Linked DNA regions of Oreochromis niloticus. The protein of the gene in region 2 purifies or fractionates together with the protein of the main gene of each other region. This does not show direct contact. Links are inferred from orthologs where the notes say so. Each region holds a gene or a part of one and is shown on either strand. Other genes may lie near its edges.

Evidence for each region.
Region 1: the proteins of eed (region 2) and phf19 purify together in Homo sapiens (affinity purification with mass spectrometry; 8 studies listed by BioGRID and IntAct, counting the BioPlex papers as one, with this or other methods). This does not show direct contact. The link is inferred for Oreochromis niloticus from reciprocal best matches to the Homo sapiens genes EED and PHF19.
Region 3: the proteins of eed (region 2) and mtf2 purify together in Homo sapiens (affinity purification with mass spectrometry; 3 studies listed by BioGRID and IntAct, with this or other methods). This does not show direct contact. The link is inferred for Oreochromis niloticus from reciprocal best matches to the Homo sapiens genes EED and MTF2.
Region 4: the proteins of eed (region 2) and phf1 purify together in Homo sapiens (affinity purification with mass spectrometry; 8 studies listed by BioGRID and IntAct, with this or other methods). This does not show direct contact. The link is inferred for Oreochromis niloticus from reciprocal best matches to the Homo sapiens genes EED and PHF1.

Annotation. Positions count from the first base shown.
Region 1 is NC_031977.2:37,161,662-37,169,555, forward strand, and holds the start of phf19 (PHD finger protein 19), read right to left. Parts: upstream 3,036-7,894; 5' UTR 2,792-3,035; coding exon 2,739-2,791; intron 2,319-2,738; coding exon 2,138-2,318; intron 2,052-2,137; coding exon 1,970-2,051; intron 1,877-1,969; coding exon 1,772-1,876; intron 510-1,771; coding exon 415-509; intron 241-414; coding exon 92-240; intron 15-91; coding exon 1-14.
Region 2 is NC_031986.2:20,926,805-20,934,376, forward strand, and holds the start of eed (polycomb protein eed), read right to left. Parts: upstream 3,032-7,572; 5' UTR 2,989-3,031; coding exon 2,869-2,988; intron 2,144-2,868; coding exon 1,991-2,143; intron 1-1,990. Other genes in the region: pwp2h (PWP2 small subunit processome component), read right to left, coding at 4,367-4,532, 4,614-4,688, 4,796-4,946, 5,038-5,256, 5,537-5,602, 5,995-6,103, 6,380-6,527, 6,624-6,804. UniProt on the Homo sapiens protein: Polycomb group (PcG) protein. Component of the PRC2/EED-EZH2 complex, which methylates 'Lys-9' and 'Lys-27' of histone H3, leading to transcriptional repression of the affected target gene.
Region 3 is NC_031982.2:10,795,420-10,803,409, forward strand, and holds the start of mtf2 (metal-response element-binding transcription factor 2), read left to right. Parts: upstream 1-4,978; 5' UTR 4,979-5,197; coding exon 5,198-5,202; intron 5,203-6,080; coding exon 6,081-6,285; intron 6,286-6,433; coding exon 6,434-6,515; intron 6,516-7,610; coding exon 7,611-7,721; intron 7,722-7,877; coding exon 7,878-7,978; intron 7,979-7,990. Other genes in the region: dipk1aa (divergent protein kinase domain 1A), read right to left, coding at 4,060-4,113. UniProt on the Homo sapiens protein: Polycomb group (PcG) protein that specifically binds histone H3 trimethylated at 'Lys-36' (H3K36me3) and recruits the PRC2 complex, thus enhancing PRC2 H3K27me3 methylation activity.
Region 4 is NC_031976.2:34,397,133-34,404,677, reverse strand, and holds the start of phf1 (PHD finger protein 1), read right to left. Parts: upstream 3,046-7,545; 5' UTR 1,144-3,045; intron 538-1,143; 5' UTR 537-537; coding exon 459-536; intron 309-458; coding exon 227-308; intron 1-226. Other genes in the region: rgl2 (ral guanine nucleotide dissociation stimulator-like 2), read left to right, coding at 6,622-6,780. UniProt on the Homo sapiens protein: Polycomb group (PcG) that specifically binds histone H3 trimethylated at 'Lys-36' (H3K36me3) and recruits the PRC2 complex. Involved in DNA damage response and is recruited at double-strand breaks (DSBs).

The DNA.
Region 1 (7,894 bases), on a different chromosome or scaffold from region 2:
TCTTCAGGTACCACCTGCACACAAAGGTAATGCACACAGGTGAATCAAGTAACGGCCAACCACACCTGCAGCTCTCATCAGGCCAACTTACTCTCCAGGGCCACCGCAGTAACAGTAACACTGCTGCTGATTGGTCCGGTGCTGCGAGTCCCAGTCCAGGGCCTCCAGCTCGTACGGCAGCACCTGTTTCATCACACTCAGGGCTTTGGCTATCACACCTTTCCTCAGAGCCCCGCCCTTCTGTGGGACGCACAGGTGCAGAGACACAAGTCAGAGGCAGGCGACACACACAAACACACACACACACAAGTGTGAGAGAGAGAGACACACACACAAATGAGAGAGAGACACATACACACACACACACAACTGAGAGTGAGACACACACACACACACAGGTGAGAAGCATCGTACCCGGACCGCCAGAGCAAAGACGCAGCGTCTGCAGAACCACGGAGTCAGGGCGCCGCTGCCCTCTACTGGAGGAATGTGACACTGCTGGTGGAAACCTGACAGACAGGTGATGGTCAGAGCCCAGGATTCACCATGGCAACAGATAAACAAAGAGCACTCGGTCATCGTCACGGGCATTCGATTCATTCAGGTTTTCATTCAGATCGCATGAAGGTGAATCCTGATGTGACCTTTGACCTTAAATCTGATCATCAGAAAGCATTTCTGCCTTTACTGCAAACAGAGTCTGCTCTAATGTTTCTACTATCAGCTTCACTCTGAGCTTCTGTTAAAGGTCAGAGGTCATTCACATCCGTGAGCTAACACATTAGAAGTATCAGCAGTTATGGAGGAGCTCCACCTCCTGAGAAAATGCTGATGTCACAGCAAGCCCGTCCAATAAACCCCACCCTCAAACACCATGCAGTAGGGCTGGGCGATATATCGAGATTTTAAATATATCGATATATTTTTTTATACGAGATATGAGATGTGACAATATGTTACTACGTTATGTTACAATTATACTTGTGGAGCTGCAAGTTTGCCTCTCTTTCATCCACTTTTGTCTCTACGCAGCGTTACTCTGCCTCGCCTCTCCTTCACTGAACACAACTCCCCCATTGCTTCACCTGCAGGCAATGACAAGATGCACACGGCAGCTATCAAAGAGGAGCTGCTCGGTAAAAAGAAAACATTTGGAGATTACTATTTTAGTGCTGTTAGTGTTAATCTCGTTAAAATGACGTTAACGGCATAACTGTGGCAAATATCCGTTAGCAAGTTACCGCGGATCGCCCCGTGCGTGGGGCTGGACGGCATCAATGTGACGCGTTAACGAGCTAACCGGGCTAACGCGTTGACACTGTGCAGTTCACGCAACTCCAGGCTGTCAGACTTTGTTATTATGCTCAGCGTCTTTTAGTTTACATTTTGACTTCACAATTGTGAGCTTTTTGCTATGCACAAAAACAACGGTGTTTTATTTTATTTATGGAGCATTATTATTTAATAAATGCTGATAAATGTTAAACAAACGCTGTATGTTGATAAAAGTGCCTGTGTGAGATCTGGGACACAGTGTGACTAAGAACTCTCTTTTTGTTCTTACTTTATAGCTTTAAAAAATATCGAGATATATGCCGTATATCGCCATCCAGCTAAAGAATACCGAGATATGAATTTTGGGCCATATCGCCCAGTCCTACCATGCAGTCAGTTTTAGCTTTGCAGGTGTGACCCTCAGTTTGACCTGCAGAAAGCCCACAGGCAGGTGTTCCTAATAAACTGCTCCTGTGTGTGTGTGTGTCAGACTCACCGATCCCACACTTTCCACAGATCAGGATCTGGTTTGTTTGGGTGCTGGAGTTTGGGTCCACCTCCTGGCACATAGAGCAGCGAGGCTCCTCCCCCGGTACTCCAGCTGCATTAGGATTGGACAAAAGAAGCAGATCACAGACATGATGCACCTGTCTTGCTCTCTCTAGCTTTCTCTCACTCCACCCGTCTGTCTCACCGTGCTGGATGTCCTTCCAGAGGACCCAGAACTTAGAGTTGTCCTCAAAAGTGACGAAGCAGCTCTGCCTAGGGGGACTCACCTATGCACCAATCAGAACACAGAAACTCAGCCAATCACGATGAGCATGATGATGCTGCAGTGGGTGTCAGGTGAGCACACGCTTACCCGTTGGATCTTTCCCAGGTAGTACAGTCCATCTGACCAACGACAGAGCACGAACTGACCCACGCTCAGACTGGACTCCACCCCGTCAGGTTCGGGGACACGCCCCCCTTCACACCCTCCGCCCCCTGGAGACACCTGATGCTCCAGACCGCAGAAGTCTTCGATCAGGTCCTCATACATCCTGCAGAGAGACAGACAGACGGTCTGTGATTCATTCCTGAACTGCGCGGTGGTTTGGAGGAGGGCTGACATGCGCAGTGCGTCCTCCCATCACATACCGTTAACAGAGCTCTAACCATCCAGTAACTACCCACCACACCCTAACGGGTTAACTAACGGAAAAGAGCTGATAAAGCGCGATAACCGACCGGAGTAATGAGTAAACCGGGCCATGAAATCCTAAACGATAACCCGGTAACACCCCGTAATAATTCACGTTAAGAGGGCCAGCTCACAGACAAACACTTGCACACAGTGATGAACTGACCCGGGTTAAATTCAGGGGTCTCAACAACTCTGTGACCCGGGCTAAACTAACGGGCCACACTAAATCCCAGGGCTAAATCAGAGCGGATCAGCGCAGAGAGGCAAGCCGTGATACCTGCACTGATCCGGGCTGTGCCTCCTTTCTGCCGGTCCTCCCGCTGCTGGCATCCCAGGACAGAAGGTCGTTGAGTCGGTGCTTCTTCAGGCTGTCTGTCTGTCTCTGTCCGTCTCCCTCACGTCTCCCTGTCTGTCTCCCTTACGTCTGTCTGTCTGTCTGTCTGCTGCTGCTGCTCTCCGCGGCGCTAAACTTCAAACTTACTCCGGCGCCATTTTTCACTTTTCCCGCGAATCACAGCACGGCTTTTTTCCTTATCGTTCCGTCATCACGCCGCAGCGCCTACCCTAACTGTGATTGGCTGTTGCGTTGAAGCGTGTGGGACGCTGCGCTATAATTGGCTGTGAGAGGAAAAAAAATAGTTTTACCGCGAGATTTTTTCTGAGCGAGATTTCTTGTGTAGCGGCCCCGCAGCTGTTCTTCCTACACGCTACTGATCTACACCCTATGACTCCACCTCTCTGCGAGCTGAACAACATCTGTGACCGCTGTTTCTGAGTGTGCAGTTCTGACTTTTATTCTCTGACAAACGTTTCAGGTTGTACTAAATATATAAAGATAATATATAAATAAAAATAATTTTGTTACACACAGATTAAATGCAACTAAATCACATGATGTTTAATCTCATTGAATTAAAGAGATTTCTACTACAACATTTAGCATAAAGCAATAATTAATAGCACTTCCTGTAATGCAGTTAAAATTAGCCCAACTTTGATTTTCAAACATCAAAACAATGAATCAGCCAACATCCTGGACACTGCACAAGTTGTTTTGTTATTTAATTAGATTTTTAAAATATGATATATCGCGGTCTCTGTCCAGACAAAGGGGTGGTGAAAAGCCATCAATGTGCAGCGCGCTGTCGTCGTCGCTGTTGTTTAACCACGATTACGTGAATGCCAGAACGGAGGCAGTTCTGTACTCATGCAGGTGGTTGACGCAGGCTTGCAGCTCGTCCAGCTTGGAGCGGAGAGACTGCACATTAGCAAGGATAATAGACGGGAGCGCTCGTTGTTTGTGTGTCTCCCTCTTTCGTCTGGCTCTCACCCCACTCTTCTTTAATCCTCTCCTGGTTACCTTGTTATTGTGAGTTTTTCTATTTCCGTGTCCACGGAGTATTTCCTCGGGAAAGTAGTCCGTGGAAGCGGAGCGGAAAAGTCGGAGGCTTTATTTAAATTGTATATTTATTTGTTGGATAATTTAAACCTTTAATAATCTTAATAAAGTCTCAGATTTAAACATTTTGAAACCAACTTCTTGTCACTGTCATGGTCCCAGGACTTCTGACCTGATGTTTTGAGTTTTGACATTCTGTATTAAGTTCTTTTGTATTCTTAAGATCTCTAGGTTTTCTGTTCAGTATTAGGGTTTGTTAGATTTCCCCCCTGTGTTGTCCTCTGTGTGACCGTGTATATAGTGATTTCAGTTATTGTGCTTTGCTTCCACTCCTTGTGTCCCGTGTTTTCCTCTTTCCATCGTGTTCTCTCTCTCTGCCTCTCTCGGCTGTCTCTGTGTACCCTCTGTGTTATGTTTAAGGTCCGCGTCTTGGCATCAGCATTTTCAGTTTTGTGTCCTCCCCGTTCTGTCATGTGTAATTGTCCTCAGCTGTGTTTCCCGTTTGCTTCCACTTCCCTCGTTACCTTCTGTATATTTATGTTAGCGTCCCCCTTTGTTCCGTGTCGCGTCATCCCTCATGGTTGTGTGCGTTTCCTTGTGTCTCCTCTGTCTCTAGCTTTTAGGTTCTCCCAGTATAGTGTTGTATCGCTCCCTGTGTTCCTGTTAATAAAGCCGTGCCTTTTGAGTGTATCCCCGTGTGTCTTGAGTCATGCGTTTGGGTCCTCTCCTGCTTAAACACAACCGAAACCTGACAGTCACGTTGGTCGTGTCCAAATTCATGGGCTGCATCCTCGTGAGGCCGCATTTGTAGGCCGATTACGTCACAGCGACGCGCCGAAGGCTGTCCAAATTCGTAGACTCCTCCGAATGCAGCCGACTAATGCGTCCTCCTTTTCCCCGAATTTGAAGGATGGGTCGGGTGTGTCCTTCGTGGCCCACCATATCCCAGAATTCATAGCGCGGCCCAGCCAAACTCCAGTTTCCAACAATGGCGGCCGCTACTAAGTTTTAAAATTACTCTTATTAATCTTTCTGGGTCACAAAATAAACTTTTAACATATTTTCAGGCGAGAATGTAGCTGTGTAAACTTCAAATATCTGCTCGGTTTATCAAGATATCGCATATTTGCAAAAGTGCTTCGACGTTTTCGGAGACGTCTGTTACCCACCAGCTCGATAGCTATCCGGGAGGTCGAGGGTCACTGGAACTGCTGAGAACAGCGAACTCCCGGCACATCATTTTCAGATCACCGCGGACTTTTGCTACTCTGGTTAAACGTCATATATAAGTCACTTAGACAACCTAAAAATGATATTGTTTGGCTGTTTTCAGTATTTTATTTGTTCGTGAGTAAATCGGTTTGGCTGAGATTAAAGTTATTAGATTAGATTAGATAAAATAAAACTTTATTAATCCCCCGGGTGGTTTTCACACAGCTGAATAAACGTCAAACAGAAAACTGATTAAACAGAAGTGTGAGACGGTCGAGAGTTTACGCCAGCGTCCTGTTATATTTTAGACAGCAAGGAGCAGACGGCCGAGTTTATTAAACTCCACCGAGACAGCGGTGACGTTAATCAGAAGGCTAGACCGTCCAATTTCACAGCCGTTTACTTCCGGCCTACCCGACCTTCTGAGGACCCGGCCCACGTAGACCGCGAAGGCTGGGTCCTCAGGAGGATGCAGCCCATGAATTTGGACACGACCTTTGTATTGAAGTTCCATTTATAATCAACATGAATGTATCTATAGTTCAGCCACAGGTGCAGTCTCTCACTCAAACAACACATTTCTTTTGCATTCAGACACAGAAGCTGGTGTGTTGCAGTATTTTATAGATGGTTTGTTTCCATGACTGCCTGAAGAAAGTCTTTAACTTCCCTTCAGTACAGTGGCAGTGGATGTGGGTTGGAGACGCAATGAGCCTGAACCTGCAGGTGACCATCTTCACTGACCACACCAACTGTGACAAAGGACTCATCTCTCCTGGTGAAGAGAAGAAACTATAAAGCCAAACTACACTTTTACCATTTCACAGGCCACTCATCTGGTTTATGGACTTTCACAACAAAACTTGTGTCTAAACACATTTTTAACAATACACATACTACTGTTATTACTATTATTTAAATGTGATTAAACAGAAATGTTGGTTTAATGTAAAACCAGTTGTTGCTAAAGATTTGACATTAACAGATGTTTGACTGTGTCGACTGATCTGTGCGAGGGAGGAGGAACACGTGACATTTACAAACCACATCGTTGTGTCCTTCTGCTGAAGAAGGGGGCTGCCTGTTGTCTATTTCTCTGCAAATCATTCGATGATGAAATAAAACAAAATAAAAAGAACATTTCATCTGTTTTTTTTTTTTTACATTTTTCAGGTGTTTCTCTGACCCAAGATTCAGTCTCTCAATCCAGTTCTTTGTTTTTGTCTAAAACCAAAAAGGAAATCAAAAACTAACTAACTGATCATTTGAGTTGTACTTACATCCACAGCTGGGTGACTTTCGTATATAAAAGTCCAACAGTAACATAAGCTGTCAGATAATAAAGTAAAATAGAAAATATAGTGAAGCAACGATAAGAGAGCTTTAAAGGGAAGCCAAAACTAAAGCAGGCCACCTGTGAGTTACTTAACTACTTAAGTACAGTATAGAGTAAATGTACTTAGTTAGATTCCACCACTAACATTTCCAGCTTACTTATTTTTTCTAATTTAAACCAACTCAGATGCCGAGGTCCAGGCAGCATCATCGTGTGACTGGGAATGATCCCAAACCTGGGTAGAATAAACTGACCTTGGGGAGATTTTACACTTTGTCCTTCCTGCTACACTTGCTCTGCAGCTTCTTTTCCTTTACTGATTTTATGGACTGCTTCCTGTGAGGTGCAGGACCAGTCTGCAGAGCAGGATAAACCATGTTTCCTCATCTTGTCAAAGGGCACAAAGTGGGACTTTACTTAGATTTATTTATTCCATATGACTGCATCATTTCCCCGTACTCTCCCCTCCCAAAGAGATCGCCACTAAGAGAAATCAGTCTGTAACACTACCGTGAAAAGAAAGTGCTTTATTGTTGTTTTGCTTCTTTCATCTGGAAATGTCCAAGCTAACCGCGGTCCAGACCGCAAATGTTGGAGTACGGTCATGGTCCTGGGTCGGTGACCCAGTGTTTGAGTTTTGTACTTTTAGTTTTTGGTTCCATCATGGTTGTTGGTTTAATCACTGTTTCTGCCTCAGTATGTCTAGCTCTTTAGTATTTCCTGAGTTCTAGTTTTAGATTTTGTTATGCGGTTTCCCTGTGTTCTGTGTTTCCTGTTTTACTTTGAAGGTGCATGTCTTGTATTTTGTTTTGCTTCCTCCCTGTCTTGTCATGTTTAATTAGGTTGAGCCGTGTCTCCACCCTGTGCTCGTTTTCCTGCTTGTCGTCCCCGGTGTAACCACTGCTCTCTGTGGTGGCAGATTTCTTTTCTCATATATTAATCACATATATAATTATATCACATTAGTTATAGTAATATCACTTTCTCACTTTATTCACAAACACTCTCATACACTTTCACTGTATTGCCAAATGCAGAGGTCACTGTGAGAAAGTGTGTATACACCTGCGCAGCGCTAACATTTACATTCTCTTTTCTACAGCAGAGGGTTCATCATGTGATCTGATTCTGTGATTTATAGGACATACCACAGGTTAATTTTTTTTTCTCACAGAATTACTGAGTGAAGGCAACTGATTACAGGTTATATGTTGGTTATGCAATTACACTATGTTGTTGAGAAAATGTTGGAGAAAATGTGAATACAGTGTCAAACATACTGTGTTTGAAACCAGTATTACCTCTTTTACAGCAGAGTGTTAACTTTATGATCTTTTTGCAGCACCTCTGGAATCTGTTGACCCAGGAAAACCCCCAGGATGCTTCATATGTTTTGCTAATGTTTGTTTCTCTCTAAGAGTGCTTGTGAAGGATTCAGCACAGACATACAAGTGATGTTAGAGTAGTGCAGTGACTGTGTGACATT
Region 2 (7,572 bases):
GAATTCAGCGGATATTGCGGGATAGACAGGATCCTTTAGCTCAGCGCGACAGTGTGCTCATAGAGAGATATCGATTTTCCCGTGAGGGTATTATTTACTTAACACTCTCACTCTCTCTCTCTCTATATATATATATATATAAAAAACAAAAAAAAAAAAACACCCAGCACGCCCCTGCGGGCGGTGTATCCTTCAAGCTCGGGTCCTCTACCAGAGGCCTGGGAGCTTGAGGGTCCTGCGCAGTATCTTAGCTGTTCCCAGGACTGCGCTCTTCTGGACAGAGATCTCCGATGTTGTTCCCGGGATCTGCTGGAGCCACTCGCCTAGCTTGGGAGTCACCGCACCTAGTGCTCCGATTACCACGGGGACCACCGTCACCTTCATCCTCCACATCCTCTCGAGCTCTTCTCTGAGCCCTTGGTATTTCTCCAGCTTCTCGTGTTCCTTCTTCCTGATATTGCTGTCATTCGGAACCGCTACATCGATCACTACAGCCGTCTTCTTCTGTTTGTCTACCACCACTATGTCCGGTTGGTTAGCCACCACCATTTTGTCCGTCTGCATCTGGAAGTCCCACAGGATCTTAGCTCGGTCATTCTCCACCACCCTTGGGGGCATCTCCCATTTTGACCTCGGGACTTCCAGGTTTTTTATATATATATATATATATATATATATGTATATATATATCTCCCAACTTACTGTGCATGCTTCAGTCACCCCTTGCATGGGAACAGGTAAAAGTGATGGAGTGTTATGTAAAACTACACACAAAAAACCCACAATGTCAATAAATGTCACAGTACAAAAAGCCGGGGTGTGACGAGGGGGTGCAGGACCACCACCTGTCTTTATTTGCTCTGCCCTTTTCTTGGTTGCTGTTATGAACAAACATACAGATTATTTCAGGGTCTCTTTTCAAGAGACTAAAAGCAATATAAGTGATAAATATTACCATTCTGTAGAATATTCTTATATTTCACTTTTACTTGTTCCCATGTTCTAGTGGGTCCTGTTGTGGCTCTAATGTGAAAGAGGATATAATGTAATATAATATAATAAATTACTTACGAGTTTAATTTGTCAGCAACTTTCTGCCAGCCCTCTCTCCTTGCTTTTGCAGCCTTTGCAATGTTCCCCTGCGCTTTAATTAGACTCTGAAACTCCTGATATCCCTCAATCAAGGGTTCTTGCTCTGCTGCCAAAAAATACTGAGCGCGCTCCTTCGACATCTTCGCCGACCAATCAAAGGGTTGCCGATCAATGTTTCTACTATCGATGCGTAGCCCCTTTTAAGCCACCCAGTGATCTCAGATTACTTCATCCAGCTATACTAATCGTCAACAACAGGTGTGTTCGGAGAACCGGATTAGCGAGCTCAAGGTTAGAGCGATGATTTGATCTTGGATGTAGTAAGCGAGGTACGAAGAACGGACCCCTTGTCTGTAAATCGTTGTCCCTCTGATGCATTACTTTCTAATCGTATCCCTTCTGGTAACTGCCAATGAAAATCTTAACATCTTTAAAACTGCCTCCTGTCTTTATGTCAGCACCACTGTCTCCAAACCAGAGATCATAGCAGTCTCCATTATAATCTTCTAAACTTCCCCTTTCACTTTTGCTGCCATCTTTCTGTCACAAATCAACCCTGACACTTTTCTCTATCCACCCCACGCTGCCTGCACTCTCTTTTTGACCTCTTTTGCACACCGTCTGCTGCTTTCAGTGGGTTGATCCCCAATATTTAAACTTCACGATATCTACTCCTTGGATATTCGCCTGTCACTCATTCACACGTGTATTCTGTCTTGTCTGCCTAGTAGTTTAAATCAGACCAGGCAGCAGATTAGGACCAACCTATTAATGCCTTTTCTGAATCGACAGCTAAGAACATCCAAATACCTGTGACTATGTATCGTTTTTTGCTGGCTCATTTCACAGTAAACCCCTCTGGGCTCTGCACACTGTCTGGTGTGCTGGACGTACTCACCCTCAGGCTGTTGACACATTTAAAAGAATATCTGCACTTCTTGGACTTCCACTTGCCCTTGCCCCAGCTCTTTCTGCCGGGGGCATTGGCGGTGTTGGTGGGTGTGTCTGGGCGTTCTGCGTTGGTGCCACTCTCAACGCTGACGGCATCGTCCTGCAACCAGCAGCAACACAAACAAACGTGTTTTTAAATGCAAAATCATCTTCTAAACATGCGCATTGAGGCCAGAACATGAGCACTCACAAACAAAGTGTGCCTGCTGTGCTGAATACATTGTAAACACGTTTCTTGCCCTGCTATTTGTTTAACAGTGCACTTTTTATAGCAGAAAAAAACAAAACAATCAAAAGCGTATCACTTCCAAACTATTGGGTCAGTTTAAACACAATGAAGGAGGAGATGAGTAAAGATGGCTATGGTTGGCCCATGCTGCTACAAAAACATTCCCCATTAATCAGTTCATAAAGCGCTGTAACATTTTTCTCACAATCAAAGCTTAACTGAAGACCATTCTTGAGCAACCCATCCGAAAAACACTACCTTTTGGTCACTATTTAGTTTATTATTTATCTGCTTGATGCTTTTTGCCAAGGCTAGCTCAGGTTTACACGTGAATAACTCAGTCTGAGCACAAAGAAAACACGTGTGCGCTAACATGGAAGAAACACGTGCGGGAAAATTTATTTGAAGACACTAAAATAGTCCACAGTGAATAACTATATCTGATAGCTCCAGCTGTTTGAATCCAACCGGTGTGAATGAACAAAGATGCTAGCTAAAGCCTTTAGCACATCGGCTACTTTAGCACAATGCTAACTGGTCAGAAGCGCTACACGGCTCATCTGCGGCCAAGCATCAAACACGGTTTAAACGCTTACGTTCTCGTCTCCTGATAAGTCAGGATTGCTGTTCTCATCGCTGCTCAGCTTTTGCTTTTTCGCCGGTATTTCTTTTCCCGCTTGAGAAGGGGACTCGGACATGTTCTTATTTTCCCTCATTTTGGAATTAACCCCGCCCCTTCCGCTCCTACGCCGACGAGCATGCCGGAAACTGAATATTCAGCCAATCACGAATCTCAGCTCGACTGCACAAATACCGGTTATTTTCCGGTTAAAGCCGTGCAGGCGTATTATATATATTTTTATAATAATTTCTTTATCTTTTACTTCCGGACTTTTGTCATTTTAAATGCTCTTGAGCAATAATTCTCCAGCTTTCTGAAGATCTTTCAAAGCGTTTCTTTGGCCATTGCTGCTTTTTCAGTCATGTTCAGTCCAGTCCTTGAACCTGAACATTTTCAGGGGAATTATTTGTTTGACATTTACCTATTACTCACTCAAGCATAACAAAGAAACCTAATTCAAGGGGTGAACCAGTTTTGTGTCTACACACACACAAAAAAAACAACAACCTGGCAAAGAACCAGATTTAAATTGTATCTTTAGGCATGTATTACTGGCAACCTGTCATAAAACACAGAATTTGTTCTTATTTCTTTAGGTGAATCTACACAGTTTAACATAAAATAGTATTTTTGCACCAACAATGTGATTCCCAAGCTGAAAACTTGGCATATCTCAGCATGGTGTGCAGTGTGTTCTTGAAGATCCTGATTAAACTGCACAAGTTGAGGATAAATGTTACAACAGTGAGTGCCTACAGACATCTGTAAAACACGGTGGAGGCTCTGTCAAGGTTTGGGCTGCATTTCAGTAAGTGGTGTTCAAGATCTTGTCAAATGATGAATTAAGAACTCAGAAAAGTACCATCAGATTTTGATCCACCATGCAATTACATCTGGAAAGCATCTGATTGGTAACAGCTTAATTTTTCAGCATGGCAATAATCCTGAACACACTGCCAATGCAGTAAAAGCATTCCTGAATAAAAACACACAGTGGAACATTATCAGTCATGGATCGGCCTCCCCAAAGCCCGGACCTCAACATTATTGAAGCAGTGTGGGATCATGTTGACAGAGAACAGAACAAAAGGCAGAAACATCCAAAGAAGAGCTGAATGTCCTTCAAGAAGCCTGGAGAACTATTCCTGAAGATATGTAAATCACTGCATCTATTTCACATTTTCCTAAAAATATATGGAGACGTCCAAGACCTTTGCATAATAATGTAGATAACATTTGTTTAGAAATGTTCTATATATCCGCTAACAAAAAAGAAATCAATAACAATAATTATAATAATAATAATAATAATAATAATCATAGAGGGTGACATTTCATTAAACCAAAGAAAACCATCCACAGTTACATATGAATTTAATTATAAAAGAACTCTAAAAAATCACATCCAAGTACACAAAAATCTGTTTTTCTTTTACAGTCCAACATGTGTCATGCTGCGGCACTGAGGTGGCCTACAGCATCATTTCTGCATCCTCTAAAGAAGCCTCGCTCATCTCCTCAGACAGCTCTTCATCCTCCTCCTCCTGGTCCTCTGTCTCCTCCTCAGCCGCCCTCTTTAAGCCTCTTTGCTTTGAGAGGGCCACGGCATAGCGGATGTTGTATATGTTGAAGTCGCAGCTGCACAAACAAAGCACACATTCAGATCTGCTGAGCTGTATCTGGGCAAAGGCACAACATTTCAGAGGATCTGTAACTTACAGCTTGGAGAGGTCGTCGAAGTGCCTCTGGATGCTCTTCTGTAGCGCCTGCAGCGTGGGCAGGATGGCTCCAGACCTGCATGCCAAAGCAGATGCATTGAAATATTTGTTGCTGTCATCTTCTGTTCACTTACAGTCATGCTGAACTGAATCTGTGATGTGAATGAGAGCCTGAGGACACACCTGTTCTTCAGTTTCTGTCCGTGCAGCATGAGCAGGTTCTGGGCCCAGGTCATGTAGAACTGCAAGTGGCCCGACTTCTCCAAACACGTGGCGATGAAACCCAGCAGCTTCTCGACATAAATGTCAGGAAGAGAGCCGCAAACCACCGGGACTAGACCAGAAGGACGCACAACTCACATCACTCAGGCGTTTCCAAGTGAAAAAAGGAACTCAAAATGTTAAATAAGGTGAAATTCACTCACTCTGCTCGTGTGGGACCTTCTCCAACACTTCCTGCTTGAGGGCTTTTTCGTTGAGCCTGAACGCCAGGACTATGGCCGACGCCCACTCCTGAAGGCGCAGCTGCTTGCGTATGCTGGCCGGTGTCACGTCTAGGTCCAGGTCGTACGGGTCAAAGACCAGTGACCCGTCAAGGGAGTAGACCAGCAGGCCCTCGGTGGTGGTGGCTGCCCAACTGCGACCTGAGGAGGAGAACAACTTCACTAACCGGCCGACAAAGCTCGTCTGTAACGGGACGCATGCTTTTCATACGTGCTTCGTGAACGTGTCTGCTGGTGTCCAGCGAAGTTTGCTGCACGAGATTCAAACACCGTAATGGTAGCAGAAAACAACATGAAAAACTGCTGTGATGAAGGACAACATCAACATCATGAAGGACAACATCAGTGTTGTCTTTCATCATCCAGTGTTCACAGGATAACATTTTGAAACCATGCTCCAAGCTGTAATTCTGTCACCTACCAGTAGGGGAGAACCGCAGCGAGCTCACTCTGATCTCAGGTCTGAAGTGACGAGAACTCATGTCACCTTTAAGGATGAGCAGACACAAGAATCAGTGAAGGTCGAAGCAAAAACATCAGTGAATAAGACACCAGAGACATTTTTTTTGGTAAAAGGCCTCATGATCCTTACAAAATACAATTACTTAATTACATGGAGGGCTGCCAAAATTATATCATAAACTCAAGATCAACTCAAGCTCAAAATCAGAGAAAATGTCAAATTTTAAATCACCTAAATTAATCAAAATACATTAAAATCCTCACTTCTAAAGTTGACCTATTTTTAATTCTGGCGGTTTCAGTCCTCCATAGAGCTATGTGGACAGCGATCACCACTTCTGTCCACTGCACCTTGTAGCAAACACACAACTTCCACACTTATAATAACTGGTCTGAGCCTTCGTGTGAGGGTTGTACCTCTCCTGACTCCAGGGAGGCTGATGCTGACTCCGTCTCCGTCCCCGGCTCCTTCATCCACCAGAGCCAGACTGCCGAACTCTGTCATCTTCCTCCTGTCCAGGAACTCCTGAAGGTGAAGCAGGACAACAGGATGAGTGAAACCTGTCATAATTAAAACCTCTTCAAGGACTAAAGATGCATCCGATCCATCTATGTTTAGTCATCTAACATACACTTTTAAAAAATGCCTTAAATTCCTATTTTGGGTTCGCCTCGTCTCCTTAAAAAAACCCCTCAACCATCAACCATACATTTGTTTTTTTAGGACAGTTGATGTTATTAAATATGTATGCTGCAGTCATGTGACATGGAAATAAACTCGCTGAGCAGACTGAGGTCGCACCTCCATAGCGTCGAAGGACAGGTTGCAGGAGATTTCAAACTTCTTCATGAGCATCTGCTCCTTGATGTTGTAGATGCAGACAAACTTGGACTGACCCCCCGCCAAAACAGACTCCCCGTCCGCAGAGTAACACAGTGATGTAAACGACCTTAACGAGAGAGAGAAGAAAAAAAAAAAAGTCACATTAGACAAGATGATTTGAACCAGTGGAATCAAACCTGACGCTCGAATCCCGTCCACTCACTTGCCCTTGGCGGATTGCTTGGCTGTGATTTTATCCGTCTCCTTGCGGCCTGTCTGCAGGTCGTGTCGTCCAGCAACGGAGCCATTTTGTGTGGCCGTGTGCGGGTTCCAGAAAGAGATCTCACCGTTCAGAGTGGCCACAGCCAACTCCTGACCGTCAGCGCGGTACGTCACCGCCAAGCCTGAGGAACAAAGACATTTAAATTAAAAAAATAAAAATAAAAACACTGTGAGGGAGGCAGAATTTTACATAGACGTATACAGCACACAAGAGCACAGAGAGAACTCGCCCTGAAGGGCTATGCTGAAGCCTGATGTTTTATGCTGATGTCAGCACTAATAATAAAAATCCAGTACAGTGTATAAATGTTTTGTGTTACTGTGAAGTCACATGATGTTGTAAAGCTCAGCCAAAGAAAGTGCTGATGTCCCAAAATGACTGTTATTTTATTATCCAAAGGAAACTATAAAGCCTTTAAATAAGTTCGTGTGACCATGAACTTTGACCTTGAAGCATTACATAGTAAAATGGTTTATTTTATCATCTTTACCTATATAATCAGAGCAAAATTGGCTAAAATCTTTGGCTTCTATAAGCTGCAAAAAGTTTAAGATAAATTTAAAGATATATTCATGCACGCATGTAATTTTACAAAACTTCATGGGTTCATTGTGACATTGTAGGGCGTCGTATTGAAAAAACAAAAAGTGTGTTGTACAGCTCTCTCTATGCCCTTTCATATGATATATCACTTGATAAGTTTTCTGTAAATTTTTTTCAACATCGACTTTGCTAACAATGAAGGTCAAGGTCAAATGCATAGCAAACCTAGGAACTCAAGGCCTAGTATATTTTCGGGAAGTTTGAAAACGAGCCATAAAAAGTTGGTACTGATTTTCAGTTTGGTGTGACCTTGACTTGGACGCAGTTTTCACCCAAAGGAAATAAG
Region 3 (7,990 bases), on a different chromosome or scaffold from region 2:
TCACAAAGCTACATCCTAATTCAGAGCTAGCTAATGGCTCGGTCAAGGACTAAAAATATAACAACTTCCTTAGATCCATAAAAAAATATGGAACTTGTGGTGATGATATGGTTGCTCAGAGCTTGTGGGTGTTGCACACTCACAACCACTTTTAATTGCAGGGCGATTGCACAGGTTGCCAGATAGGAAGCAACTTTTCTGCAAACAGCTGCAACCTGACCTGGACTGACTGCAAAATATTGCTGTCTGATTTATAAATGCAGACAGATTGACAACATGTTGCCATCAGTCTGAATGAGTCTTTGTCAGTAAACACAACTCGAGAGGACTTGAGTCAGCTGGATGCTTGTGAGCTGGTTATATTTCTATAGAACAGGAAGGTTGCTGAACGCAAATGTAATGTGAATTTCTTTTAAAAATGAATTTGAGCCTATGTAAACTTCAACAGATATGTGATTTTAAAGGATTTATCACAGTTAATTGATGTATTATTAACAATAGATTGCACTTAATTGCCAACTTGGTCCCTTTCAATCATAGACTATCTCACAATAATTATGGCTGGTTTTAGTGAGTACTGGTATGCTTGCCAATGTTATTGTGATAAAACAGGCACTGACAAAGTTCAACTTTGAGGGCATAATTTGCAAAACTAGATAAATAATATTGTATAGTGTGAAGCCCGGTAATGATATTGTATCATCTGGTATCTGGTGACTCTCACCACTAATGGAATAAAAAACTGAAGTGAAATGAACCAAATCAGAAACAAAAACAGCTGCAGTTGTTGAAAACAGGAAGAAAGATCACGTTTAATGCCAAAATAGTCAAAGTTCAGCTGTGCATACAGAAAGTAACTATTTCCTTTATTACCAACCTATAGCAGTGTTATTTTTGCATCTCTGCGAGGCTGCACTTATAAAGAGTGGTGCTTTGAGTTAAAGTGTAACTTTAGCATGCAACAATAAAAACGATAACATGGCAATGATTAGCAGCTATAACTTTTACCTTGTTTGAAATCCTAGTTTAGTATGCCAACATGCAAACATTTGCTAAGAAAAAAACACAAAATACAGCTGAGGCTTATGGACTCCTTACAGCAGGTAAATACTGATTTGGTGGTGCTGAAGTCAGAGGATTGCAAAAGTCTCTGGGAGGGGGAACGTTAACATTTTGTGTCAATAATTCGTTAATTTGTTCTTTGGTCAGTGGGGCCAAAGGTTGCTAAGCCAACTATCATGGCAATCCACACAACACAGTTACACATTTCACCATCTCTTCTATGGCAGAAAAGTCTGCGGCCTTATCAAAGAGTGTCGAACTAGAATTGCGAAAACTTTACAATAAGAAGTTACAGGACACTTCTGTGAGGTCTTGATGTTGCTCTGGAGCAACAGCTGAAGTCAGTTAATGAAATGATCCTCTCGGCAGCACACAGACTAAGAGAATAATTAAATAAAAGCAAGCAAAAAGATAAAGCAAAGAGGACTGTTGGAAGGCAGAGTGGAGCAGTGAAAAGAATTTAGGTCAGACTGCCTCCGTCGGCCACACTTCTCGACTTTTACCCAAACAAAACTGCAGTTAGTTTTTCCTCCGAGGACTGTAACTGCACTTGGGAGGATAAAGTAATTTTGCTTCTCTCTTTGATTGCATGACAGGAACTGGTTATGCCGTGTGTGTTTTGGCAGCTTGGCGTGCCTCTCATTCAGCTTCAGCAGTGTTTCCAAATCCCAGCAAAATACCCTGGCGGTGTGGCAGGCACCAAGTCAAAAGCCTTTTTATCTTTCATGTGCTGTGATTACTGTAGTTTGTAAACAGAGCAGAACTCTCTGTTATGGGTTTATACACTCTGTGGGAGACATTAAAGCGTCTGATCCGCACTGACACACAGACAGAGGGTCAAATTACTCTTAATTTGTATTCTTTAGAGATTTAAGGCATCTCACCAAATACTTTTACAAAAAGGTTAGGGTACGGGAAAATAACAAATTAATTGTCTCTCTATTTGGTGCATTTCATCAATCTGTTACTGACAACAGCAGGAATTTATTTGAGCTTTAGCAGCTGCTTTTTAATAGAGCAGGACAGATGTCTCCTCTGCATGACCACTTTGATTTTAAACACTGTGTGCCCTGAAGAGATGACTAAATAGACAGTTGGCCTCCACGAAAGAGATGGAGATAAGGATAGAGAGTGAACATTGCTATCACATCTGAATGCCTTGGCATGTGTAAACGGAATTAACATTGCCTATGTGCACACATGGAAATTAAAGGTTGGATGCAGCCCAGCCCTCCATAGTCATGACAAGCAAGTGACTTTGAGTCATGTGTGTCTGTGAACTGTCTGTGGGGTATGTGAAAGCTGAGCAGGACAGAGCTTAATCCTTCATTAAACCCTGTGGTCCCTTACAGTGTCTCCTCTGCAATGAAACCTGATATGTACTAAACGTCTTAACTAGGAAAACAATGGATAAACCTAACTGATGCCACGTATGAGGGTTAAAAAGAGTCAAAAAGATGTTTATTACTATATTACTAACCACAAAGACAGGGACAGAGACTCCACATGTTTTGCAGTTGTATAGCAGCCTCAAGGTATAAATCAATAAAATAAACAAAACAAGATAAGTCAAATAAAATGACTAAGTGCTGAGAGCTGAATGACCTATGCACGACTGAGCTAAGTGACAAAGCACAAAATCCATAGTGCAAGCTTTAGGGTCACTGTCTGTCAACAGATGGTCTCAGTTACCCAGACAAAAGACCCATATCATGTAGAGGGATTTGCGGTGATGGCCACTGTCATTTCATCCCACCTGAAATCCACAGAGCGTCTCAGGACGGAGCTGGCTCTCCTTGTCAGTTTTTGCCTCTAATCCCGCATGACGCACTGAGGGTGGCTAATAATCTCTGATTGAAAACGTGTCTTTACAGGCTCAATGAAGCCTTACTAAACTGGTTTTTAAATGTAGCACGCTTTGACATCTGAGCTACTTGATTTCTGACAGCACAGTTCGGTCCAGGAGCCATATATATGTCAGCTCTGCAGTAAACTGTGATGACTTTGCTGAAACCTGCCTTGTAAGCTTGCTACCTGGAAGAAAATAAGGAACACATTTTGCCGTTGTGAATTTATGAGCAAACAGGTTTCCTAGAAAGTTCTTAGAGAGGCTTTTTCTCAAAATTGGTGAGCCCGTTTGCATTTTGCACTGACCTTTTGTTTGAGAACATGGGGAGAAACTGATTTGAGTAGACCACAAGCAGAACTATTTGCCTAATTACTGTGAAAAATGTGCAGACTGCATGCACAATATGCAGTGAAAACACATGCAAAATCATTTTTTTCTTCTAGGATCAAAGTCCTCTCAGGCCTTAAAAAAAAAAACAACGCCCGGTACAGGATGACATGTTGCTTAGTAGCAACTGATCTCATTGAATTAAACCACGGGCCTACAGGAGACATTGGTTTACTGTAATTGGTTACTGGTTATAGCCAGATGAAATGAGGTGAGCTTGCCAACATGTTTCACACTTTGAGCTCAACATGTTTCAGCTTTCAGTAGACTGCATTAAACTGACTGTTGTGTATGTTGTAATACAGCAGCATTCTACCCTTTTTAAGAGCAAATGCAGCCCTGTACTCTCCTCCTCTTTCATAAGCTCCTTACTGTATTGGGAGAAGTTGCTGGCAGCTGCTCCTCAAATCAGAAGGTTCAACCCTTATTACCCAGCCCAAAGGAATTACTGCTGCCCTGGCACTGCTGAAGGCAAGGAAAAGACTGAGTGGAAGCCCTGGCGTCTTTACAGTCAAAAACAAAGCAGAGCCAGGGAAACGATGATATTGTTTCTAGAGCAGGCTCGCATTCATCAGGTATTTTGCATTTTGCATTCATCAGGTATTTTGATGTCGCCCACACCGAGCAGCAAGAGGAGGTACCCGTTTACTGCCAGCTGTCAGTGTGATGTGGCACCACAGCAAGCTCAAACAACCCCACAGCATCCCCTCATTTTAAACTGCAATCCACTTCACACAACACATCCTGGGTAGCAATCTTACCTGAAAGTAGAAAGACTTTTTCACCCAGGCCCGTGGAAACAGACCCTTCGCCATCACAAAAATAGATCATCTCAAGACGTGGACCTGGCTGTGGGGGATCATCCAAAAACCCATGGGAGAAAGCCTGTTCAGCATCAAACGACGGGCACAGGGAAATTATTGCAGGTTATCCGATTTTAAGCTCAGATTGTCGATTTGTGTTGACGGCGTGAGTCGCTCTGACGGCACACTTTGCCTGCGCCTGGGCTCTGTTTGCAGCAGCTGCTGAATTCCAACCAAAGCAACATAGTTGAAGCTGGGGAAAAAAAACGCAGGTTCAGAGCGCAGGCGCAAACTCTACCAATAAGATGTCTGTTTTTAAGTTTACATGTGATCAACTAATTTGACCAAAACTGCTGTCCAAGCCCACTCACCGATGCCAGATCCCCTCCGCAGATAACGGTGAGTCAATATTGCGTGTTTGCGAAACTCTGGAGGTACAAGCAGGTCAAGCCCAAGCCAGCAAGGAGAGGGAACACAAACATCCGCTTTCTCCTTCAAAATAAAGGTTTTATTGCGGAGACGCTACACACAACTTCCGGCCAGGAGGTCTAATTAAAAATTACCTGTTAGCGTCATGTTATGTTGTAGCGCCATGAAGTGGCCGTACTTTGCACAAGTTTATCAAACATCTCATCGTTAAACTTCTGATGTTTTTGAGTAAACATATTTTATATTTAGAATGTCTCTCTTAGGCAGACACTTACGCATAACACCTCCAGTAAAACGTCGACTAAAATAATAAAAAAAATTTAAAAAAATATGCTTCTTTAAGGGGCGGATATGTTTTGCTTACTAAATGCCCTGCCTACAATTTCAAATGTTTGAAAAAATGGTGAGCGTCGCGGCAGAGACAGCCAGCAGCAGTCGTTTAAGCTCTTCCCATAATGCACTCCCCGATCACCAGCGGGAAACCAAAATGGCGAACTTGCTCGGGGAAAATGAACCGTTTGTTATTTTCTGAGGAAGCCACAAACCCCGCATGTTTTCCAGACACGCTTTGGAAGTGAATTCAGTTGCTCGAGGAGCGGGATAAGAGCGGCTCTTCTGTCCGGTTATTTTTGTCGTACGAGTCGTTTGTAGAAGCGGAGGTGACCGAATGAGGTATTGTTGTCATGTTTTCCTCCCGTTAGGGGGGGTGTGGGTCCGACGGTCAGCGACCTGGCTGGGGTTACGGCTTTGCATGTGGATTATTCCCGCTGCTGAGCTCGCCCAGCTGCCAGCTATTTAATATACAAGACATTATATCAGCGTGCAGCGGCATCCCAAGCTGTCTTTTTATCTTTGCTAAGTGGCTGGCATTGAATATGTCCACTCATTATCCGAACAAAGGAAAGCCTGCATTGGAGGACAGCGTTTAAAGGCGAAGGAAAAAACCCCAATAGTTTCTTAATATCTGAAATTAATAACATTTGTAATAGAAGCTAGAAATATGACATTTTGTATTAGTATGTACAAACTATCTGCTGTCACTGAGACTTGTGGTGGAATGGAAGTGTTCAGTAGTAAGTACATTGGTACATTGGTCTTTATTTCTAAAAGGGTGGTTAGGTTTTTGTTTTTTGTCTTTCATTGCATTGAAGCCATGTTACTGACTATGTGGTTAATTACCAATTAGCACTAATTATGGGTATAATCACCTGTTGTTCAAAGCCAGTGGAGAGGAAATGCCATGTTTCACTCTCTTTTGTAAGCCCTTCTGCAAGCACACAATGCATCCTTGTGTTTGAGGGCTACACATACAGGACTGTTACTCTGCTAGCTGTTATCAGTTTAAAAAAAAAATACCAATAACATGCATTAAGTTGTACTAGTATTCTTTTGAGGAAACAGAATACACCACATATAAATAATTACAATCTGTTTACAGTAAGCAGAAAAAAAAATTCTCCTAAATTAACTTTGAACTTATTCCATATCCGCTTGCTCCATAGTCTAAATTCACATCTGCCTCTGTTCTCTTGTATTGCACTGTTTTTCAGAGACTCAGGGGTTGTGGATCACCTGTCTGTGCATCACAGAGCTCATCCCCCGCAGCGGCAGCAGCAGGCTGTGTCCTTGTCCCCCACAAGCCTTTCTGCCAGGGGAGAGTATGGAGAAGACAGCATGTCTGATAGGTTTTCAGAGGGACAGGATGTCCTGGCCCGGTGGTCAGATGGCCTTTTCTACTTGGGGACAATCGCAAAGGTTAGTGTGAGGATGATGCATGAAGGTAAACGGACTGTGTGGAGAGCGTTGGCAGAAAAACTCCTGAAATCAGTATAGGTCATTTGCAGCAAAATCTGCTCCTGTCGCATCTGGAAACAAGTAAATCTTTCTTTGTTTTGTTTTTCAGATAGATCGGGACAAGCACCGATGTTTTGTGGTTTTTGAGGATCGGTCAAAGTCTTGGGTTCTTTGGAAGGATATTCAAACAGGTGAATGTTGGCTTCGAGGTGGATAAGAATGGCTTCATTGATCCCAAAGGGAAATTTAAAATGTGCAATATATTTTAGTTTAATTGCTAGATAATATGCAGTAAAGATACTGTAAGCCAGTGCAAAGAGGGTGGGGAGTCAATTATCCACAATTTGTGCTGTGCAAACCTTTCTGCCTCTTCCAGGACTTACTTATCTCTTGCTCTTGTCACTGACAGTTAACTGTAGAGTGTATCAGTACAGTCGCAGTGCATTGCTAATATGCAGACGGGCTGCTATCGCTCCACTTAAGCCCCTTTAGCTATTATGGTGTTAAGAAAAACTTATTCTTCATTTTTATTCTTAAATGGGATGGGTCATGAATAAAGCATTAATGAAAGCTATGATCAGACACATTCGTCACATTTGACTGTAAACGATTTGTGGGATAATTTTTATTTATTTATTTTAACCTCAAACCTCATCTCAATAGTTGAATTGTGATATATTAAAAAAGTATGACAAAGAATCACCACATGAGATGCAGTCAAAATCTTGTTATAAATTCTATTCCTGTGCAAGTGTGATAAAGCGCTATGAGGCAACTGTTGCTGTTATTTGGCGCTACATTAAAAAAAAAATAAAAAAAATGATTTGAATAGAAATCCCCCTTTCGGGTCTAGAAAAGACACATAGTTATTACAAACATCCCACACCCTCGAATATGCTCAGGAGGAAGAAGGCAGCAAACTGTCCGCAATCAGGATGAAAACGGCTTTATTCCTGCTGAATCAAAAGTTAAGCCAGTAGATGGAATCTTCTCTCTAGTATCCTGGTGTAGACCTTCAGTGACACGGAAGCGTGATTACCCCCCCCCCCCCCCCCCCCCGATAACCAGACAGTTTGGATTTTATTTATCCAGGTTGTAAAATATTTTCCCTGCCACCTTTCTCTAGTTTCAGCTGGGTGAATTTGAGTCATCTTTTGTTCATGTGATGACTCGGTGTACTCCTCTGACCTCGTTTAACTGAAAGCTGCTTTAAATGATACCCTTAGTCATACCACCATTGATCTGAAACTTTAGTTGCTTACCTTCATGACTTTGGTGCTGTTTAGGGGAAGAAGATGATGAGGATGACGACGACGATGACATTGTCTGCTCCATATGCCAGGACGAAACTTCAGAGGAACCCAATGAGATTGTCATTTGTGACAAATGTGGACAAGGTATCATTTATTGTCTCTGATGTTCCAACATAAGCCAGAAACAGTTATTTTATATTATATTTATAACCCATTTAAACAGCCAGTCTCAGTAGTTTATTTATTCGTCTGTTGGGCTCTAATCTCTGGCCATTACGGATGTGTTCATTTGTGTTTTAGGCTACCACCAGCGGTGTCACTCCCCTGTCATCGATGCTGCTGTCATCGACTCTGATGACAAGTGGCTTTGCTCAGAGTGCGAGCTCACTTCTCTATCTAAGGTACAGATTTTT
Region 4 (7,545 bases), on a different chromosome or scaffold from region 2:
CACAAGAGGAACAAATCAGACGAGCATTCATTCAACTCCTTCAGCAAAATCTGAGAGTGGAAGCAAACACCTTTACTGCGAGTTCATCCGAGCATCTCTGTGTTCAAAAGCTCAAGCTAGGTGCATTTTTAACCCAACAAGTACAAAGTTCTTTCAACAGGAAGCTACTTACTCTTCTTGCCGAAGGAAGCGGGAGGGGGGGAGGGAAAAAAAGAGTTTTTCTTACACGAGTGAATGTCCTTTCTCAGTACCCAGAACTCAGAGTTGTCCTCAAATCTCACCAGACAACACTGCTTGACTCCATCTACCTGAGAAGGAGATAGCAGGTGAGCGGAATGATTGACAAAACTAAATGGAAGTCTTTTCAAATCCAGCCAAACACACTCACGCACATGTTGCATACACACACTCAAAGGTCTCTCTGTCACACACGCATACACACTCATACATGCACTTACTCTTTTCACATTGCCGAGGTACAGTAGTCCATCACTCCATCGAGCCAACACATCATCTCCTTCACTTACTCCCCCCATCCTGAGGAAAGAGACAGAGAGGGGAGAGAGAGCAGGGCTCATGTGAAATGGAAATCCGATTTATTCGCTGAATACTTTGCTGCCATTGCTGACAGAGGGGTTTATGGCCCCGGCATTTCGACTGCTTCTGAGACAGGCGGGCTTCAGTGCAAAGGGGTTAAAATCTCCCCCCCTCCATCCTCCTCCTTTTAGACTAGAGCATAGCGACAGCCTGTATCCACCACAGTGAAAGATGAGAGTGAGTACACAACCAGAGAGCAAGACAAATGATTACTGCACACATCAAACACACATACACACACAGAAAAAAAAAACACTGCATGATGACTACTGCAATACAGTTTGACTGAATGAGCAAAGATCACAGTGCAGCTACTTGAAACATCTTCCCTGCACTTTGCTGTTGTCTTCCCCTCTCCCAACATCTTAAAAACTTGAATAGATGCATCAAATGACTCTGCAGGCATTATCTCTGCACATTGAGCATTTGTTCCAGTGCATGCACTCAAGTCAAGACAGACGCAGGATGCATTACAGTGTATGTAGCCTTTTGTGAATCAGAGGGAAATCAGGCAAATTTCACTGAAAGCTGGCCGGTGAAGGGTACCTGTCAAGTCGAACTCCTTTCCGTCGGGGTCACAGTGATTCCTGGACAGGCTGGACATGAAATGCCCTCATCTGCTGTGGGTCTCCGCTGCCCAATTACTGCCAGCTCGGATGCGCAGCCTGCGTGTTTGCAAAAAGTGGATGATGTGCATGTATGTCCCTGTCTGTGCCAAGCGCCTGTGTGTGTCAGTCAAGCCGTCAGCGAGGAGGAGGGAGAGGAGGAGGAGGAGGGGGGGGACTGACTGTCCGTCCGTCTCTCAGTCTAGTTTGTCCGTCCTCCGCGGTGCCGTTTCGTCATGTTCCCGTCGCTTTTGCTCTCTCTCCCCCCTCTCCGTCACCACCTACTGATGCTATTAAGGCGGGTTTGTCAGAGCAGCACCGGAATCAAGCCGCCAGAGACGCCATCATCCCTGCCTCTCGCTCTCGACCGACTTGTTGTGACGCAGACATAAAACACCGAGATAGAGTGGGAGGGAGATACTGATAGAGGGGGATCCAGAGGTGGCGGGGGGGTCCTCCGCGAGAGCACCTTCCTGTGTGAGAGATTGACCCTAAATCCCTGTGACAAGGTGGGATTGTGATTTCTGAGAAAAGAAAGGAGGGCGGCGGTGCGCTAAAAGCCAGCGGAAGCAGCGCGCCCGGTGACAGGGGCCAATTAAGTAGCCAATTAGTGAGTTTAGCCGCCTCATTAATTGGTTTCGAACAAGAAGGGACCGGACAAGTTTAGGAAACCGATGGGAAAAGTTTTCAGCAGTAGAAGCAGAGCAGGAAGATTAAACTGTTGCTTATCAGTGCTGATTTTTAGGAATGAACTGAATTTGGTGTGATCGTTCTTTCTGTTTTACTCAAGAGTTTGGGGATAACATTAAACATTATTTAGAAAATACTACAATGTAAGATTTAAAGCATGTATGAGCTCACTGACTTGCAACACAACGTCACAGAGAATTACTTCCCATATAAACCAGATCTTACAATTTTATCTAAAAAATAAACTCCAAAGGGGACAAATATCCAGAGGGTCATCTCCTCTGGGCTGCGATGTCTGATGGCTCACAAAAGATAAAAAACATGCACAAATGCACAGTGTCTCTAATTGCACCAGTTCCAGACATACATCCAATGCAGGCTGCTTCACTGAGTTCAGTCTTGAATGAACCATGCACGTTGTTGAGTATATATGGTTACTGAAAACCTATTAACTGCTTCAGAAAAGGCAAACATCGGGGGAAAGCTGCTTCCAGAGAGTCACAGACACGTTATTAAATTGTAAACAATGCTAAATCACTCCGGGATTTAGATTACTCTTACAGTTAAATTGCTTTAGTCAAACGGCGCGTTTTGCTGTTTTTGGCTGCAGGCTCATCCATCAAATCCAAGGTTGTGTTTGTTTGTTTTTGCTTTCTTTTCTTGTTTATGTCTTGCACATTACTCACACCAGTCGAGCGTGTGGTAACACCGCCGTGCGGTTCAAAATGGCCCCTGGCAGATTAAAAAAAAAAAAGAAAAGAAAAGAAAGAAAGAGAGAAAGCGTACAGTGTCATTTTCCAAATGTGGCCGCTGGGTGGCGAACAAATACCAGAACAGGAACTACTGCAATCAGGCCTGTCAGTCTCATGGACTCGCAGGATCAGAGTGAAGTTCGAGAGAAGCCCCAGAGGTGTGATGATGATGATGATGATGATGATATGAGTAGGATAATAAGAAAGGAAGACCATTTAAAATCCTCATGGCTCGTGGACTCTGTAATGTCGAGTCTTCACAGGTTATAAGCCAAAAAAAAGAAGCTAACACCCTGACATCATGGGTTTTTATTGCATGTGATGGGTGTGTTGTTTCTCAAGTTCCTTTCCGTGTCACAATTTAAAATGCATTTGCCATTACAGTCACACAGTAGCTGTTGTAATCTGAATGGTAGCATGGCCTACTTTTTACAGATGAAACCATTCATCCTTGAAGGAGCAGAGAAGGCAAATACTAAGATTTGACGCTACAGGAATGCACTAAAAATAGCATTAGATAATTGCTTAAAATATGAAGCTAAACCTAAAAGTGTCTAGATTAAATGTCATGGGCCTGAGGGTGTTTCTGTGGGGTTTGCGTGAATACCGATCAGCAGATGAGTTCAGTTGAGAGAACAGGTGTGTTTCTGGGATTTCTCAGTGGGGTGGCACAGGAGTGACCAACAAATAGGGTGGGATTTTTATTAAAAAATTATATCAAATCAGTTGAGCTCAGGTTTGTAAGGTAAAGACTGTTTCATGCATGTGTGTGTGTTGGCTTTTCAAAAATGAAGAATGTATTGTTTAAAAGGTGCCACAAGTAGCCCAGATTATGCCCAAGAGTGTCTGCTGTCTTGGTTTGCATTGTGAATATGGATGTGTATTTGAAGCAACCAACTATTAGAGCAATAATATCCTCAAGGTTATATTAGGCTTAAAGGGGCAATCTGAATTTTTCTACACATTAAGCTACACTGGCCAATCATGAGGGTCAACCTGTGAAAATTCTTGTGTACTGCAGAGAGCCTGCATTAAAATCTAGAGAAGTATGTAATACTCTAAAGCTAAATTATAGACGTCTGTGAAGGTTCTCAGTCATCCAGGTCATCGTAGTCTAAGGAGCTTGGAAAGAAAAGCGTCTGGACTTCTTTAAGTTGCTTGAATTAAATTATAGATCTGCAGAAGTGTTTGATCTTGACCCAAACCTAGAGGGTTCAAGTTTAAATGTCTAAGCCTAAGGTCGATTGTTGAAGTCTGGTAATACAGAAGACAGGTCAGAGGTCAGGCTTACTTTTAGGTTTATGAGTTTAATAGGGACTGCTTTATAATTGGTATTGTAATATATAGGTTTATTAAAGTATTAAAGTCAATTCAATGGGCCTGTTTTTCTGCAGTCAGCGATCGTTTAGATGAGGTGAAGATTTTATGGATGGAAAGACTTTCAAAATGACAGAAAATGCGCGTGTGTTTGCGTGTGGTTGTGCGTACACGTGCTCGTGCGCGGTCACGCAGTCTGCCTGCTGGTCCTTGAAGTAACATTTCCCCGGAGGCGACGCGTACGCGGTTGCGGTGTATCGCTATCCACACGGTGGAACTGCCCGGAGAGACGGATATGTTGCCAAAGCAGTGAATGCACAACGTACAGGAACTGCGACGTTAGAGTGAGAGAGAGGCGGGGAGAGAGGGAGGTAGGGAGGGAGGGAGGGAGTTTGCAGACAGACCAAAGTGCGCTATCAGCTGCTGAAAGCTGGACAGGCGAACAGTGTGGAGAGACTGATAGAGGGGCGAGAGAGGGTGGGGGGCGAGGCGGAGGATGGAGACTCCCTCGTCGTTGTCGGCGGTGACGGTGGTACAGATGGGTGCGACTCTCCTCAGCTGAGCCGGCCACCGATCCAGCAGCCCCGGCGGTCATCCAATGCAGTCTGGATCGAGCTGACCGCGGTTGGATAGCGCACATCCTGCGAATGAGACTTCGCTAACAGTAAGTTGAATTGTAGCTTCCTTCATTTATCTTCCTCTATTTGCTTAATTTTTATAGCCTAGCTCTTAATTTTTACGGCCTTCGTGTCGCTGAGTGATTCGCAGCAGGAAGCAAATGTCATCATCTGTCACTCTACTGTGTTTAAATACACGCGTCAAACTTTTGCAGCCCTGACAGTTTCGGGCTCCATTCTCGTCTTCCAGCCGACATCGAGACTGAAGCTGTCATTAGGACTGTACATTGCTGTAGCACCACCCCACGGCTACATTTATTAAACAGAAAATAGGCATTATGGGGTGTGACTTACTGTAGCCTAGTTACTGCGTTATATGTGTGTACACCTCAGTCATATGTGGCTGTTTGCTTTGGTCAGGCCAGTGAATAGCAGCCTTTCAGACTTCTGCACAACCGTTGGTCAGCTAGATCATATGCTGCACTGGTAATGCTTTGTTTCCCCTGCAGGCCTGCTCCCCTTTCCTCTCTTATTCACGGTACAAACTTGCTTTCTTGAGCAAGAATATAATGAACCACCACAAACCTGCAGTAAAGACAGAGCATTATGCAAGAGAAAGTTTAGTGTTACACAAATTGTAAAGAACCAAAACAAAATGAGTGGAAACCAGGGAGTGCCATTAATGCATTTTTAGACCACACACTTTTTAAGTGCTCGTTCGGATCCAGAGCTGTGTGAACAATCAGATGGGTCATGTGCCTTGCTCAAAGGTGTTCTGAACATGCTAGCAGGGCAGACTCTGCTGTTCTGTTGCTGGTCACATCACAGCCATTCTGTATCATTTGCTCCTGGTAAAAGTCAGAAGAAACTGCAACACACGTAACATTTATTAATACACCAAACTGCACAACGGAGCACTTTAACGTGTTCTTTTTAATAAAAATTCTTCAGGTTAACATAACTGTTTATGTGTCTGTGGTTGACATTTCCATCACCCTCATATCACTCCTACACCCACCAACTCTCTCGCTCAACACCTCTTTTCCTGTAACAGTGTTTACTTGATGTTTATCTTCAGGGCAATCTAAATACCAAAGAGGGGAAAGGGAAATGGAAGGAAGGGTTGCTATGCAAATCCAGACCTGCTGTAGAGCACAGTCAGTGTGTTAAGCAAATCAACTCCAGGATACCATTAACCATAGAGTGTTGCTTTTGTTTAAAATGCAGTTTAAAGGTTATCTTAAAGTTTTTAAAGCTATAACTGATAATTTGTTCAATGTGGAGCTCTAACATGTGCAAAGTATTCACAGGTGATTCAAGAAGACACATAACGAGGCACACACAAGCGTGGCTATACGTCATAAAGTTACAGTTAGTTTATTTATTGAAAATGACTGATGATTACTTCTTCAAACCTTAAGTACAAAATCCAGCTGCCCAGTGGTCACACATTTAGGGACATCACTCTGTACACTCTTACAGCCTTTCCTCATTTTATAAAACAAACATATTATGAAGAACCTAACTGGAAAATAGAAACATTTAGATTTCTCACATTTGTTATCTAACTGTCTAAGATTAGACATTAAAAAGCATCAAAATAAAGAAAATACAAGTTAGTTTTTGAGAAGAAAAATCGAATTCAAGATAAAAAAAATAAGCTTTAAAGCTCTGAGAAAAAAGTACTGTGCAGTGCAGGAATAAACAGTCAAGTTTTAAGCTTTGATCTAAAACCTAGAAAGTTGGAGAGAGTCTCTGTGTTTCTGACAGTTTGTTTCAGATTTGCAGTGCTTAAAAGGAAAACAGTGCTTTTCTATAATGAGTTTGGACATGTTAAATGAGTCAGTTGTGGAAATTTAAGTTAGTTTCTGATGTGATCCACTTTCATTGCCTCAGCTTTAGCACCACTGTCTGATAATAATGTAATTTTATACTTTTATGTTATAAGGAAATGAACATGTTAGTACTTAATTCATTCCAACAGCTTCTTAAGAAATATCTAAAACATTTCTTATGTGTCTCTTGTCTGCAGCAGCTGGCACCATGCTCCCCCGTAACATACGTACAGGTGGTTATAACCTGCCAGGGGTGGAATCAGACGATGTGCCCCTCATTGGCTATCGACCTTTATCACCTGACAGAGGAACCATAAGTGGCCACTCAGGGAGGAGAGCCGCTGGCGCTGAAGTGCAAAGTTCGCAGGTGAATGGTTTTTACTTTGCCTCAAAATGGATGGATGGGTGTTTTATATTTGTATATTGGTGTTCCCAACAATCACAGAAAAATATGTAAGTTTACTCAGTGTAATGTTACCTTTCTTGGCTACCTGTCTCTCCCGCCAACGACATCATATTGTTACTAATCTTAAAATGTTACAACAACTTTCAACATGTTCAAAATGTGTTCTGACCATCGATAAAGGCGCTAGCTACGACTAAATTTAGCAAATAGTAGTAACTGGCTAAATGGATAGCTGATTCATCTGATGGATAATACAGCAGTTAATGCTGTAAGCTAATGCTATTTCCTGCTATTTTATTAGAATGACATTATACTTATTAATTGTTTGTGGCTTAAAGAAACGTGTGAGATTAAAACATTAACATTTTCCCTGAACAAGTCAGGTTTTGGCCCACTGCGCAATTGCAGCACATGCAATGGCAGCAGCCAATTCCTTCATTTGCATTACTTACACTGCATCGCCCAATCTAATCTCTTAACAAGACTGGCCCCTCCCCTACCTTCACCATGCACTCACATTTTGTGTGGAAGAAGTGTCAAAGGTGCTACTGAAAAGCTGAGAGAATAAAAAGAAACTAATAATAAATGCAGCAAAATCTGTCAAATAAACCAACATGTTAGCTGTTGTTGCTGTTGGACCGTGAACAGTAGTACCAGCAACATCTAGTAACAGCTAGTAACCAGACCTCACAGTCACACGAGGCTACCGCTTCTAGCGCCAGCTGT